Linked DNA regions of Lepisosteus oculatus. The protein of the gene in region 1 interacts with the protein of each later gene in a biochemical or structural test. Links are inferred from orthologs where the notes say so. Each region holds a gene or a part of one and is shown on either strand. Other genes may lie near its edges.

Region 1 (7,426 bases):
AATTCTTGTGGAATAATCTATATCTGAACACACTTCTTCTGCATGCTTGCTAAAATGACCCTATCAAATAACTCCTTTTGCTTCTAGGTTGTCAGAGGTCTCCTAGGGTTCAGATCACATCCTGAACAAATTCCACCTTACTTCCATTTAGTATGTTGTTTTAAACACATCCACTCTAAGGGCTATGGGGGAAATTTTAGATGGAAGAACCTCAAATTAAAAAAAATATATATTGTAAAAAGTTAACCTATATCTTACTCTAAGGTCTTTCACAGCCTCACTAGACACCTCCTCTGAATGAAATGTAGTTTAGCAGGTCTACCCAACTGTTGTCAAGCCAGTTCAACAGCAAAAACCCTTCAATGGGCCATTACTTGAACTATAGCAACCTCTATATTTTTCAGTTTATAAAAGATAAAGATCAAGATCACAGACGGCAACATCTTAAGCCTTTTTACAACAACATACTTTTAAATGACTGAGTACAGAACCATATGTAGAATACACATCTGAATTAGGCACCGGTACATGAAGACAGTACTACCTGCTGACTTGACAACTTGCTCATTAATAGCCTGACATATGTTCTAAAATTATATGACTGTGTCTCAGTGAATATGTCCCCATTCACATCAAATAACTCACATTCCAGACGTTTGGCTTTATGGCACAACAGCTTGCATTGTGGATGCTCTTGGTTATCCCCGGAGCTCCATCCACAAACTCGAGCCACCAAAGTCCTTCGGGGTTATATGATGTGAACAGGATCACTGCCTTGAAGAGGCTAGTACCTGGCCATGACGAAGCCACACAAAATGATCAGGCACGTCTGAAGAAAGGCTTGTGTGCAGACTGCGACGTGTGGAATACCCATGAGAAAAAAACGTTCACACAGAACACGGGGACGCTATTCTCTTCCGAGCTTCCAAGACGCGACTGCTGTTGCACGATTACACAATGAAGACGAGTGGCAGATTTAATAGGGTCTCATTTATAGTATGATACTGGAACCATCTCAGAAGTGCTTTACTCTAATTTATTTATAGAAGCAGCGCCCTATACTCAGAAAATGGCTTCTGTGAAGCACTAAGCCACAACCAGGTTTATCCCTACGGGGACCTGCTGAAAAAGCATTGCTTTAGAGGCCTGAAACCTTAAAGGCAAAGATTGAGGCCGTCTGTCACAGCCTGCGCTCCCCTCCAATGCTTCCTTCCTTATCAGTGCAATCGGGATTGTCGTCCAATGCCCGCAGAAAACAGGCTCTCAAAGGAAAACTCCATCCAGGGCGGGAAATCTGCCCCTAGCCTCTCCTTTCTCTGCCAGCCTCTTTGATTTACAGAACTGTGTGCTGCTTATCCCCTCGCTTTTGTTTAATCAGCGTCAGTACCACGGGAAAACAGATGATGGCAAAGTTTCTGCTATTTCTGCTGAAAGATTTATTGACCTCATGCCTGCCGGGGTTCAGGAAATCGGCATCGCACGAACAGCACTTTCAGATGTCAGCCTTTAAAAGGCCCACATGGAATAGCTCAGCATTATTAGAACACAAGCTAAATTTGCTTAAAACCTAAAAGAGGAAAGTCGGTAGACAAAAGGTTTCCTAAATAACATTTTATCAACCACTCGGCCTACATTAATGTGACCTTGGATACAACTCACGCTGATTTTCTGTCTGCTATGCTTAGCAGGTGGCTGGAATAATACCTGGATTAAGATACGGTTAAGGTTAATTAAGGTTATTTACTCATTCTTAGATCCTAATTCTCCAAGCGGGAAAAGAGAATGGTATCCTATTTTACCTTCTGTCCCTTACCAAAACACTAACAAATCACAGTCCTTTTTCTTATAGCTGACATTGCCACAGATCAAGAGCAAGTAAGAGGTTTATTCCCTGCTGAAAAGAGAAGAAAGAAAACATAACGTTTCGGCTGTGGAGCCTTCTTCGATGCGATACGTTTCCTTTCTTCTCTTTTCATCAGGGAATAAACCTCTTACTTGTTCCTTTGCTGCCTACGCATGCTGACGCAGCTACCCACCTGAGCGTGTTTTGAATGAGCTACTTTTTTCTGTATTTCTATACTGTACTGTAACACCGTGGCGGGGAAGCTTTTGGTTTTGGGAGAAACGAGACCCGACCCTACTCCACAGAAATCACCTCGTTTGTCCCATTTCTTTAGCTGGAGAGAAACAAATCACCTCTTTGCTGGACATTCAATCGGTCCTTACTGGAACCCAACAGTAAGATGAAGCGTTCTGGCAAACGGGACAGATAAAACACCGATTTCTGTCACTATTTCGAGGTACAACAAAACTAAAAAAAAAAAAGACGACCAAATATACAGTACTATAGGCGCCACTTTTAAAATGGGCATAGTATTGTCACAGCAAGCCCAATGACTTCTGGCTATGCACTCAAATACTCTCCTTTCAAAAACACAGCAAGTTAGGCTACACTTGGCAAGTAATGGAATAACCAGAACCAGAAAACCACCGCATTTACCATTTTCAGCCTCCGTTTTAAAAGCCAGCACCTTTTTTTTTTAAAATACCAATATCTCCTAAATTCCAGCTCTTTCTGCTCGAACAGCCGATCGCAGTTAAAGCAGCTGCGCTGATGACCGCTGCCGCGGACCCTGTGCCCACCATAACTCTGCAGCGGCTGGCCAGCCCCCTCCAGAGCCCCGAAGCCTTCGTCATTTTCAATCCCGGCGATCTCGCTCTCTTGCTGGGCTAAGAACGCCGCCGCCGGGTCCTCCTCGGCCGGGGCTGCTCCGTTGTCGGAGGACGAGAAGAAACCGAAATCGTCAGCCATCTTTCTTCGGGGTGTTTTTTTTTTTCCGAGAGAAGAGATGAACCGTGCAAACAATACAATGCACTGTCTGGGCTGTATTCGCACAGGAACACCCAAGCACTCGGACTCCAGGAACTGAGCACTTCCTAAACCCTAGGCAAGCACTTCCTTTCCTCCCCCAGCTCACACAGGAACAAGATACGAAATGTCAAAGCAGGCGACTGGGAAATGACATCATTGGGGTCATTATCATAATTTTGGCTGATGTGTGCTAATCCAGTTCATGGGTGGAAACAAAAGACACTTATGTGAATGCAGTCACATGGCCGCACACAAAACACTTTTATGTGTACTTTAAAGCTTCAAAGCAGCAGAGCACATTTCCACTATGGTGAGGAGTAGAGAAGGAGAAAGTTACAGTAGCTTTATAATGTATGGCTACAGGCATTTGTGAATGGCTTATCAGTTCTTCCCAGGACGACAGTAATATCATGGTGCAAACTCCATTATCACCACATAAACAATATTTTCAAACACAGGTGATGGTTTGTAGTAAAACTACAAACTGAAGGTTGATCATTGGTCGTGTTTCATCTGGATAGTGTAAACTTTGTGAGGCTATTTTTATATGCGCTAACTCAACTCAGAATGTTACAACTAATTGTTATTTTAGGAACCTCACTGAAATAGCATCGCATCCTTCAAAGTCGGGAATTAGTTTTCGCACAAGCATTATTTGTTTTTCCACGAAATAATCTAAAGACCCCTTTGAAACTCAAAGCTCAGAAGATGTAGACAATTTTCCATGCAGCTACAGTGTATAATGTATGTTGTACTCAACGGTTTGTACACCTCCCAGTATTTAAATGTTAAGTACATAGGCAGTTTTACTATGTTGGACTGCATAAGGTCGACGTGCACTTCTTTCACTCTGTAGAGAATCTTATAAAATATCAAGGTGGAATTCAGCCCAAATCGTTTTTTTTTCCTATGGCTATGTAGCAGTAAATTACGTTAAGTATGATTACCTTGGAGGTAGTGGCTGAGAGGAGAATGGTGTCCAAATTAATGGTCATCATGAACAACGTCTCCCATCCCCTCTATGACAGGCTTGTGAGAATGAAGAGCGCGTTCAGCAACAGGCTGACCCAACCAGGGAGCGCTACAGAGATCATTCTTGCCTTCTGTCATAAGACTGTACAACTCATCCACTGTGTGTCTGTGCAGGGGCAACACTGACCTGTTTTTGGACTAAACATGAATTCTCTGTTTACAGCTGGTTTTCCTGTATACAACTGATTTTTGTGCAATATATTTATAATGTGCAATACATCTTTTTGTGTACTGAACATCCTGGTTTGTCTTGTCTTCTTCTACACTGTGAGCAATTCTGTAAACTCAATTTTTGAAGTACTTACTGTATTGTGTATTATGGTGTGATTTCGTTACACTGTGCTGTGTTGAGTGTGCCAAACTGCCGTTGCACTGCAATTTCCCTAAGATTAATAAAGTATCTATTATGTTTGCTGATTGTTAAACCAAAGATGTTACAGTATTGTGGTTATGGGCAATTTCTGCCAGCAATAAGCGGCACCAGCACTTAACTCCTGATTTTGTAAAATGTATTAAATAAGACTACAGTAAAATATATGAAACAGTTAAGATGAAACTGTCTCCTAGAAAAAAAAACAGCGAGTATATATATATAGCCACTATCACAATTTAAAAAACTTTTTTTAGCCCACGAGAGGAGCGTCTATGAGCTCGTAAGAAAGGGGGCGGGGCTAAATCTCGGGTCGCATGTTTTCATTGGATGAGAGACATTACGTGCGCGCACCCGAATATTTTGTTTCCGTCTTTTTTTTCCCCCTTTATCTACAGTCATGGGGCAGTAGAACAACAGATAGTCCGTTCTCCATGAAAGAAGGAGGAAACGATAGCACAATTTGTCGGTAGACATTCTTGTCACACGGGGACAGTATGGTTGACGGAATAATTACTTTGGGTTGTGGCTGTTTTATTTTATCGCTCAAAGCAAAGTGAATTTTCTCTCTCTCTTCCCCAACCTCCTCCTTACCTTCTGCCTCTGTCAGAGTGTTACGTCAGTTCCGGTCTGCTCTGTTGCGGGGGTTTGGCGAGGCAAGATGGCGGCGCCAGAGGAACAGGAATTATCTCAGGAGCAGACTGAGAAACTCCTGCAGTTTCAGGTAATCAGGAAGCACATGCTGGATGAAACAACGAGGAAAACAGTCTGGATACTTTCCCCGCCTTGCACGTGAACTAACCAAATGCTGAGGGCAACACACTTTTCTAGAAAACTGGAGATTTCGAACAGAGGATTGAGGAGGGGGGGAGATTTAGATTTTCAGACAGGTATCTTACTCAGTGATTCGTATTTAACGGTGTAGGGGTAAAAAGAGCCCCCATTCCTTGTATTGATGACTTTAAACCATTAGAGTTGATAGTTTTCCACCTGCTGATTAACTGTATGAAAGTTCCATTAAGGACCTGACCCTCACCTTAAAGTGAAAATGAAGAGCAAGGTATACAGTAGATCAGAGTGGATAACACTCAGCATAATAGCATAATTGTATAGGAGAGAGAGATTATAATCGGGAGCTCATCATTCTTTATCAGCAATACAGTAATCTAGATACATATGTGCTTTTGCTCAAGGAAAAGGTAGTGTTCATGAAGTACAGGAAAGGTGCTTGGAAGTTTGTTACGTGTGAATTGACTTTTTAGCTTTTGTAGGTTCTTCATTATAATGCCATGTAAAGCAACAACGAATTGCCTTGATGTTAACACATTGTTTAGCAAACGGGGCAGTTAAAATCAGCATTTTCATGTCTAAGCAGTAAGGTATGGTGGTGCTTTGTATGTTAAGGTTAGGTTTAGTTCTAAAAAACAATGTTGAAACACTTAGATGCTAAAGATTCTTAGTTCCTTTTTGTGTATGACTGATTATTCTGATGTTTTGATATGGTCCCAGTAGTAGGTTTAATGCAGATGAGCTTGAAACCTTATTTAGCATTCATGTACTCAATATTGTTTATTGCTCAAGGGTGAAACAGAAAAGCCAAGTTACAGATATTTTGCTGAGTAAAATCTCTGGCACTGTTTGTTTCCATATAGATTGTGTGTTCTTTACAAGCATTCTGTATATATGTTTATGTAACAATGTTTTTAATGTCTTTCAGGACCTGACAGGTATAGAGTCTATGGATCAGTGTCGCCGCACACTGGAACATCACAATTGGAATATTGAGGTATGATTTTCTAAATGCTCTCTTTTTTTGCTTGGTTGCAGACTCATCTCCATTTTGAGCAGATCGGAGAGCAGAGAACAAATTAGTGTGATCCTTATTGCCCATGAGGTTGTGGGCTCTTTTGAAAGTCATCCAATCTGTTGAAATGTTTTTCAGTACCGATGGTAGAAAATGTATTCAGTTAGTGCAGTTTTCTCAATTTAAAATGCCTGCCGCCTTCTTGGTTTTTAACAACATTTTTAATCATAGTCATATGTCAAACATGGGGCAGTATTTCAGATTAAGAACTAATCTAATTTAAGGTTTGTGATTGTATAGCCTAAAAAATGACTGAAATTTGGGAAGAAAAGGAGTCTGTTGATAGCGAACATTTTTTGGTAATAGGTAGATGACATGCCCCGCACATCATATGAATATAGATTAAAGCTGTGATTAGCTTTTGTGCATCAGAAAAGAACCTTTTCTTGTGACGTTGGCAAATATGTGCATTTCAGCAACGTCAGTATAATGGCAAGGTTTGCTTCAAATGGAATTCGTTTGGACTGATTCTGAATGTCACAAGGCCAGTTCTAGAATTATTTTCTTCTCATTCATATTTGATTTGAACGGGATTAGAAGACCTACGAAGTGTCAGTTTAACTGTCTCCTTTGTTAAAATGTTGGGATTACTCCTCACGTTTGTCTGTCAATAAATCACTGACCTACATTGGTAACAGATGTCTGTTTTCAGTCTAATAATGCTCTGTTATGGTTCTGACATGCTTGTAGGGAATAGCTCTTTCAGTTGGCTTCCTTAGTCCCTGCATTCAATCCAAATGAATATTTTAGCACAAGTTTGAGAACAAATCATAGAAATAAGTGTTTCTCGAACAAGGAACAAGATTAGAATTGCCATCACCATAATACTTTACTGTGAACTTTATATGTAATTTAAGCAGTCCTACAGTACATGTAGGAATATTTGTCTTGCAATTAATTATCAGTAAAAATATTCCTATTAATTTATCTCCAAATTACAATTGAACATTTTGAATCTCACCAGTGAAGGAGGCTGTATGGAGTCTTAAGTTCATTAAGTTTACATTACCATGGTTACCATAGAAATGAATTTTCATTAGTGAGGGGTGTGCACAGTTTGAAATGTTATATGCCTACTCTGAAGTCCATCCATGCATATGAGTGACTTCTTTGGCAGCAATATTACTGTAACGTACTGTGCTGAAATTGTCCACATTTATGCTTTGTAATTGCTGTCAGTAAGCGCAAATAACATGCTGCTGCAGCTGCTGGCTCTAGCAGGCCTCTGTAGCTGCTTAGTGGCTCCCGGTTTCATTTTGAGTGATGCTGACTCTTGTCTCAGGCAGCT
Region 2 (7,755 bases), on another chromosome or scaffold:
ACAGATGCCATTTGGAAACTTTCAGTCTCTCTCTTATGCATGCGAAATGTGATGTGTCAGGGGATGCAGTGATTTCTAACCTTCTAAAACCTTAACAATCATGATAGTGCTTTCTTCATCTTGAGTCCACTAATTAGCTTGCTGCCCGTTTAATTTGCTGCTCATGGACTGACTCCCTAGGGCCTCCCAGAATCACAACACTGCAGGTCATCAATCTTTGTCCAAGCTAAGGTTTTAACATCGGAGTGCATTCAATTCTTCCTAAAAAGAGGAACTAATTACATTCCTCAGTGAAAGCGTGCTGACTTTCTACGAACTTTCACATGCTAGTACTACTGTAATACAAAATCATTAAGAAGCAGCAAAACAGACTCCACACTATTATAGAGGTACCATTATGACTGCTTAAAAAGAAAGCATACATTTTGTTCAAAGCATACTGACACCTTAAGATGCACCAGCCCAGTTTGCTTTCAAGGGGGTCCTGCTAGTCTGTTCAAAATTCGACATAAAAAAGTCAGGTCTGACCTAAAAAAAAATGTTGCAGTTATACGGAAACAAATACAAATATTTGTATCACTTTATCAAGAACAGGATTCACTGTATACTGAATGACTCCAAAATCTGTTTCCGTGCGATGTGACCTCCACTGTGGAGGTCGGAATCGCCCCAGCCTGAATGGCAAGAGGGGAGGCCCTCGGCTCACGCCCTCCTGCTCTTCGTCCCCCCCCCCCCCGTCTGCATCATCATCATCATCATCACTCCTCCAAGTTTTTCCCTGTGCTTGGAGTCTGAATTTCAGAAACAAAAAAGACCTCAAGAGGGCGTTTCCCATTCAATCATTGCTCATCCCGAAAGGTGCCGAGTGATGGGATGAGATGAGCCCGTCCCGCTCGGAGCGAGACCGGACAATTTCTCCCCGCTGGACTCGCTTCCTCCCGGAGCTCGCCGCTCGCCTTTTCATTTGGTTTTTGTTATCCATACGCCGCTGGTCATGCAGAACCCCTCCAGTTCTGTTCAAGGGTTCGCACTTCCCAGATGTTTCCGGGTTCGACTCCAGCTCAGGGGACCAGTCTTGTGGAACAGGCATTCTCCCTCCCCTATGATTAATTTAGTGTGCAAGCTGTGTGCTTTTGTCCCCTTCCATCTCCCACAGAGATGAGGTTTGATTGACCCGTTTGAACTGCCCCGTTTTGGGAAAGGGGTGTCAAGGAGAATTAATCTTTTTTGGGGGGGCTGTTCGCATTACAGTGGCTGTGATAAACTGATAAACTGGACCAAATGGCCGTAATGGGTCGAATGTAACAGAAAACCCACTGGAATCACAGGAATTTCCGTCAAGTCTGAAGCTCCATGCCCCAGGGGTCACGGGAGCCTGTTTTCCGAAGTTGTTTGCTGACACCCACGATTAAGCTGCTTGAACAGGTATCGCTTGTACATCAGGCCGATCACGTTAAGTGTAAGCAAAGCCTCCGACAACGTCCTTTTCATTGAATCCTGACGTGCACAACTTCCCTAATCAGCTGGGAGCAAGTCGGTGGTAGCTAGGGAGGCGCCCTCGCAGGGCTACAAGGAGGCATTCATGCTGACGTTCGCCCGTAGCTCAGGTTAAAAAAACAAACGTGGAAGAATGAATGTTTTCATCAGGTGTTGTTTCGTAGCCATCATTTGTGCACTCACCTTTGAATGACGTATTTTGCGTGGAAGACAAACTTTCTAAAAAGAAATCACCACCTTGCCGGTTTATGTATGTAAACCAACACCAACCAGTCCCCTTTTCAGCAAAATACCGCAGACTCAACTGACCTGTCAACTGTATATTGAATTCTTAGCAGTTATTATCCACGTCGGGATTTTAAAAGCGCGAATTTAGGACTTTTATAACGATGCATTTTGAGGGGTCTTTTTTTTTAAGCTGTCTGAGTACTGTGAACTTATTTTGGGACACTTCCCTGTCTAGATTTAAGCAATCTCTTTAATTAATGTGCAATCTCCTCCCCGCCACTGCGCTCCCCAGCCGGGTTTCAACACCGAGAACAAAACAGAAGTAATATTACACAAACAAATTACAAAACAAGGACAGTTAATGACCGCTTTGATAGCTACGGCTACACAGAACAGACACCGAATGATTGACATCATGTTTCTGCCCTGCACATTTTTTTTTTTCAGCTCAAGAAGCCAACCTAGGCTGGCTACCACTAAGTAAACACCATTTCCCCCACAAAATGCTTGAGTTCTCTTCGAAAGATTTCACTGACATGGGGACGACGACACCTTTTGAACTCTTCCCGTCTTGTCACGTAGGACACAATGTATACGTACACGTGAAATTAATTCTATTACTCGCCCAGTTGTAGGACTTTAAATTATCAATGAACCAAGCCCACCGGTTTACAATGCGATATTCTCTTTACCTGCTGCTTGTCAAAATGCTCTTTCTCCGCCCCCAAACTGTTCTCATTTCTTCTGCTTTTCACCCTGGAAGGCACCTGTCGTATCGAATTCATCCTCCGCTCCGGCAGCTCGGGAGACGAATATGCCTCTGCCTCTGGTGTCGATTATGCACTTGATAAAAAATCACCCTTTTGTTTTTTAAAAAACAAAAACAAAAACAAAACAAAAAGCAAGCCGGGGGATACGACGAGCTGGAGCGACCAGTCCAAACGACGCGCGTGTGTTTTTTGTTTTTTTTTTTCCGGTTGCCCTTTAAAACACAAAGGAAAACAAAACAAATAAAAACACAAAAAGCCCCCCCCAAAAAAAAAAACAACAGCTCCCGGCTGGCCGCGCTAGTGCAGGGGCTGGCTCCGCCGTGCAGAGTTAAATGAACGCAGCATCATGGGAGAAGGAAGAAAAAGGCACTGCTGTGTGTTTGCGATACGTGGATCCCAGCCCAGGTTGCACAGAACACGGACATAGCAACGCGCTTTCCTGAATGGGCGGAATGAGAGAAGGGGGGGAGGAGGGATAAGAGATCAGTCTAGAAGAAAAACTGTATACAGTTTTCCCCACCAATCAATCAACGCACAAAGCTGCTGGGAGTCGGATTCACGTTCCGGCCATGCCCGGTAATGTCTTTTTTTTTTTTGGTGGCGGGCTCTGCCAATGGGAAACTCCCCTGCGAATTGGCCCCGATCGTATCAAGTGCGATCAGATTTTCATTAAACGTTTGGATTTGCCTGCTGCAGAAATCAGCAGCGGCATCTGCCATTATAAATACACGCTACACAACGTCAGTGCATTTTATTGGGCTTCCACAGAAGTATTCAGACGTCTAGAAATTTCATATGTTAACATGGATTTCCTATTGCATTATGTAGGCTATATAAATACACTGAATGTATAAAACGGATTGCAGCGTGCTGCTTATTTGAATATGAAGTCGAAGAGTTTAATTAGCTGATATTTATTTTAAAATGTATTTTGTATCTTTAAAAACGGTACACGACATATGTGAGAAAGTTTTATTTGAGCAATTCCGATACAAATAACAATGACCATTTAAAAAAAAACATACAATCTTCAGAAAAATACTGTTAAAAATAATGCACTTTACAAAACCTAAAAAAAAACAATTTCAGAGTACACTTGTGCTCAAATCTGAATTGCACAGTATTGATACATATTAGGTTTATAGTTCTGTTTTCCGTCCTCATGTCTGTAGTGCTTTTTGATATGTACAAGAACCAACGGTAATAATATAGGGCAGTTTCAACCACTTCCCTATAGATGTTCACAATACTGTCAACAGGCACGAAGAAAAACTCAGTACTGACGCCTCTAGAGACTCTGTCTTCACGACATAAAGTCACTGTACTTCTGCAACATGTCCAAATTGTTCTGCATCTCCTTACGTCAACTGCTAGAAAAAAAAACTCACACCCTTGTACACTGGCGGAACTCTGAAACGAGGGGCAATCTGTTTTCTTACGATTCAGAGTGCAAGATACCACTGTAATAACATTCCCACTTGCCCCGCTGCTGCGTAAATATTGCTTTTTAGAGGATTCAAAATACATAACACTCAATTAGACAACAAAGGTTTAATTTAAACCGAGAAGCTTGGTAAATGAGGCTGGCAGAATTTCAGAAAACACCTTACCACTGTTATAGTGCACGCATTTAGTATTTGAAATGTGAGGGAAATAAATTAGCTGTCTGAATGTACATCACGGTAATCTCACGATGTCCTCACCAGCAGTGAATGAAGTAAAACAAGTCACTGTATCCCCTGATGCTGTAGTACTGTACCTTATTAGAACGTTCTGTCCTCAACATTTTAGCTCATTTATAATTTAGAGTAACACTCAGGTGAATACTAGAACAAAATATCTTCTTTGAATTTGAAAACTATCACATTTTTAGCTAATGTTCCCAAATTTGCAGATTTTTCCGTGCTAAAAAAAGGTGTGAGGCAAGACTTTGACATTATCATGTAATGAGTGGAACAGTAAAATGACTGTACAGTCAGACAAAATTTAATGGAAATAGGTTTACTGGCAGGAGACAGCAGAGTTTTAATAGTTGAAGAACTGCTGTCAATTAATATTTTAAAGCTATTGTGGACCTTTCACAAGCCCAGAAAACAAATGATATTCACTAGACCTTGAATGCCAATGAAGTTTCCTCAACATCACTCATTTAGTGTGAAGACAATCTGGGATCAAGTTAAATCTAGGAGTGAAAGCTTGTTTCACCCCTGTGGAAAATACGTCTCACAGAGCCCAATGTTTTAAATACTGCTGGTTTTAAAAATCTAGATTTCTCCAGGTTAATCAGGGGAAAACTACTTAATACTTTTTTGAAAGCCCAGGTATCTCTAATAAAATAGATGCCCACTCAGATTCAGTATGAATCATTTAGCTCTTCATTTCTGACCTGTTAAAATAGTTTCTATTAAAGAGTGCCATGTCTTAGATTACTGTATTTAATTGCTCGTTTCATTCCAGTTACTGTACTGTATTTGTAAGGTGAAACTACATGTTAGTGATTGTATGAAAAAGGTTCTGACATCTGTATTAAAACCCGCAAACGTCATATTTTAGGCTCTAGTGTCTGTGGTGCACCCTTAACAGTACATTTGTATTTCTAATAGAGAAGAGTTGGACTTCTAACAACAGTTTTGTCCACAAATGATTCAAACATAAAAATGCATATACTTAAATATTTCTTTTATAATTGATGTGTCTTTCAGATAATAAAATTATATTTTAAAAAACCCAAGCCAAGACTAATGCCATCTAAAGATCTGGTAGGTCAATAAATCTTAGATCTCATGTGCTATTTTTTCCTATAGGCATTAACAATATATTTTACATGGAAAGTGCAACCACATTCCTGTTGACTACAGATCTCTTTTGTATTTAATACAGAAACTGAAACTCAATTTCTGCTTTTTGGTTACTCCTTTATAATACTTAAGTCATTATTTTTATGTTGCTATCTAAAACTATCGAGGTCTAGGCAAGTGAAAACAGATTTTTGCATTACATTTTGTTTCCAGCATTAATTTAAAAAAATAAATTACTGTTTATTTTTAAAAAACTTTCGCATTCTTTAAAGAATGAATTTATTATCACATGCATAAAATACAGCGGGACTCTTTTTTAACTTTGTGTCTGTTTGCATTGTTAGCATCTGAGGAAACGCCTACCCTAGCTATTAGACTCTAACAGTGGTCTAGGAGCATAAGACATTCCTTTTTTATGGTACATATTTCTGCATCCCTGTGCAATCCAGGCATCCCAGCGTCATTCAGAACTTTCACCTCCACCCACAGTTCCACGGAGATAGCTGGCTTTGAACACATGGGTAGCCTTTGCAGTCCAATTCACGGCCTCCCAGATACCTGATGCGTCTTAGAGATTAACAGGCAGCTGCTGTGTGTCCAGGTTTAAGAGGCTGCCTGCTACACTTCTCTTAGAACAAGAATTTTGGTGCTGTGGAATCAGAAAAAATAACAGTAAGACAAACTGCATCTTTGTTTTCTACGCTTATATTGAGACACAGAATACTCTCACATCACCACTCTCCTAAATCCAAACTTTTCTGCAGTGTTACTCTTTTATGCAACAGGACTGAAAAGTGCATCAGTCTGTGGTTTAATCTTTGTGTTACCCTAGTGAATTATTTCAGCTGGCCACTGCCAATTAATAGGGCGGAGTGGTGGCTCTGTGGCTATGCGCCTGTGACTGGAAGGTTGCCGGTTCAAATCCCACGGCCGGCAGAGGAATCCTACTCTGTTGGGCCCCTGAGCAAGGCCCTTAACCCTAACTGCTCCAGGGGCGCCGTACAATGGCAGACCCTGCGCTCTGTCCCCAAGCTTCTCTCTCCCTGTCTGTGTGTCTCTGTCTCCATGGAGAAAAGCTGGGGTATGCGAAAAGACGAATTCCTAATGCAAGAAATTGTATAGGGCTAATAACGAAAAATTATACATTATTATAAAACATTATACATTATTATAAACATTAATATAGAGTTGTATTTGCACTTGACTTGATTTGATAGCCTTTGTTTTCCCAGCCTGTATTAAGAAACAATATTTACCTTGGAGTGCGTGGAACCTTCAAGCAGCTGGGTGTCTCTGAGGAACTGTTCTCTGCTGTCCAATGCCTCAACACTCTATTCAGAATTTCAGAAACAAAACACCAGTCAACGTACCACATTACCTTTAAGATCAAGTTTTAAGCCTTGAAGTCGGTATTCAAAAATATAAATAATTGTAAACAGAAAAATATAAACTTCAGTTTATTATAAAGTAAAAACAGTCCTCACACAGCAGTCCATCCATCTGCCTTTAAATCCTGCAAAAAATCTGATCTTTTAAAAATATTAACTCTGGATGGTACTTCAACTAAACATTTCTATTTCAGTAGGCTTGAGTGGTGAATGACTGTATTAGACTGTGAATGACAGGAGATTATAAATAGAACAGCGCATTATTACAGGATTGTGTGTGCCAACCTAATATCATATTATTTCACTCAAGTTACCCTTTGTGTGTGAAAGTGAAGCAGAAATACCTAGAGATTCTGCAAATTAGGCAATAAAGCCGCCTGTGCTCTATGTAGCAAAATGTCACAGAACAAAATGCAAGATAGCATGACACAATTCACCCCTAAAAGCAGATTAACAAGGCAGCTCTACAGTAAGAAGATTATGGAGATTAGGAAACCCGATTGATTGGGGAAGCCAACACGAGATCATTCAGACTGACAGGGTTAGTGGGCTAGCAGGCCACAGATCTCTATGAAACAAAAACAATAAAGCACCCCCACATATAAAGTCCAACAAACTCACAATATATTTAAATACGTTCTTGTAAGTTCAATAAAAGCACAATATTTAATAATGTGTTTCCTTTAACAGTCAGGGTAATAATTGTTCTTATTCTTTCGAAATACAGATCTGAAATATATTAAGGCATATTGTGAGTAAATAAAATGCATTCTTTTCTCATAATATTATATGGAAATACAGTAAGCATCAAAGAAAAACAACTGTGCAAGAACTGATGTCACCATTGTAATGGTAAAGCAGAGCCCTATTAATTTATTTTTAAAAGGTTGACAAGTTTTCTGGCCTCAAAAAAAGAAATGCAGATTTATGAAATAAGAAATGGTGTTTGATCTCTAATGGGCTTTGCTAATCCCTGCTGTCTGGTGTCAAAGAGCCCTAAGCCAGAGGGAGCTGCTGGTAGAGGCGACATACCCTGCTGCTGCCACTGCTGTCCAGGCTGTGCGCTGGGCTGGC

What was found.
Region 2: the proteins of cltb (region 1) and huntingtin-interacting protein 1-related protein form a complex in vitro, tested with the Homo sapiens proteins (2 studies listed by BioGRID). The link is inferred for Lepisosteus oculatus from reciprocal best matches to the Homo sapiens genes CLTB and HIP1R.

The regions. Positions count from the first base shown.
Region 1 is NC_090706.1:37,377,057-37,384,482, reverse strand, and holds the start of cltb (clathrin light chain B), read right to left. Parts: upstream 3,014-7,426; 5' UTR 2,813-3,013; coding exon 2,644-2,812; intron 1-2,643. Other genes in the region: faf2 (FAS-associated factor 2), read left to right, coding at 4,936-4,998, 5,992-6,060, 7,421-7,426. UniProt on the Homo sapiens protein: Clathrin is the major protein of the polyhedral coat of coated pits and vesicles.
Region 2 is NC_090717.1:7,337,403-7,345,157, reverse strand, and holds the start of huntingtin-interacting protein 1-related protein, read right to left. Parts: upstream 3,030-7,755; 5' UTR 2,511-3,029; coding exon 2,418-2,510; intron 1-2,417. Other genes in the region: ccdc62 (coiled-coil domain-containing protein 62), read right to left, coding at 5,862-5,942, 6,550-6,624, 7,714-7,755. UniProt on the Homo sapiens protein: Component of clathrin-coated pits and vesicles, that may link the endocytic machinery to the actin cytoskeleton. Binds 3-phosphoinositides (via ENTH domain).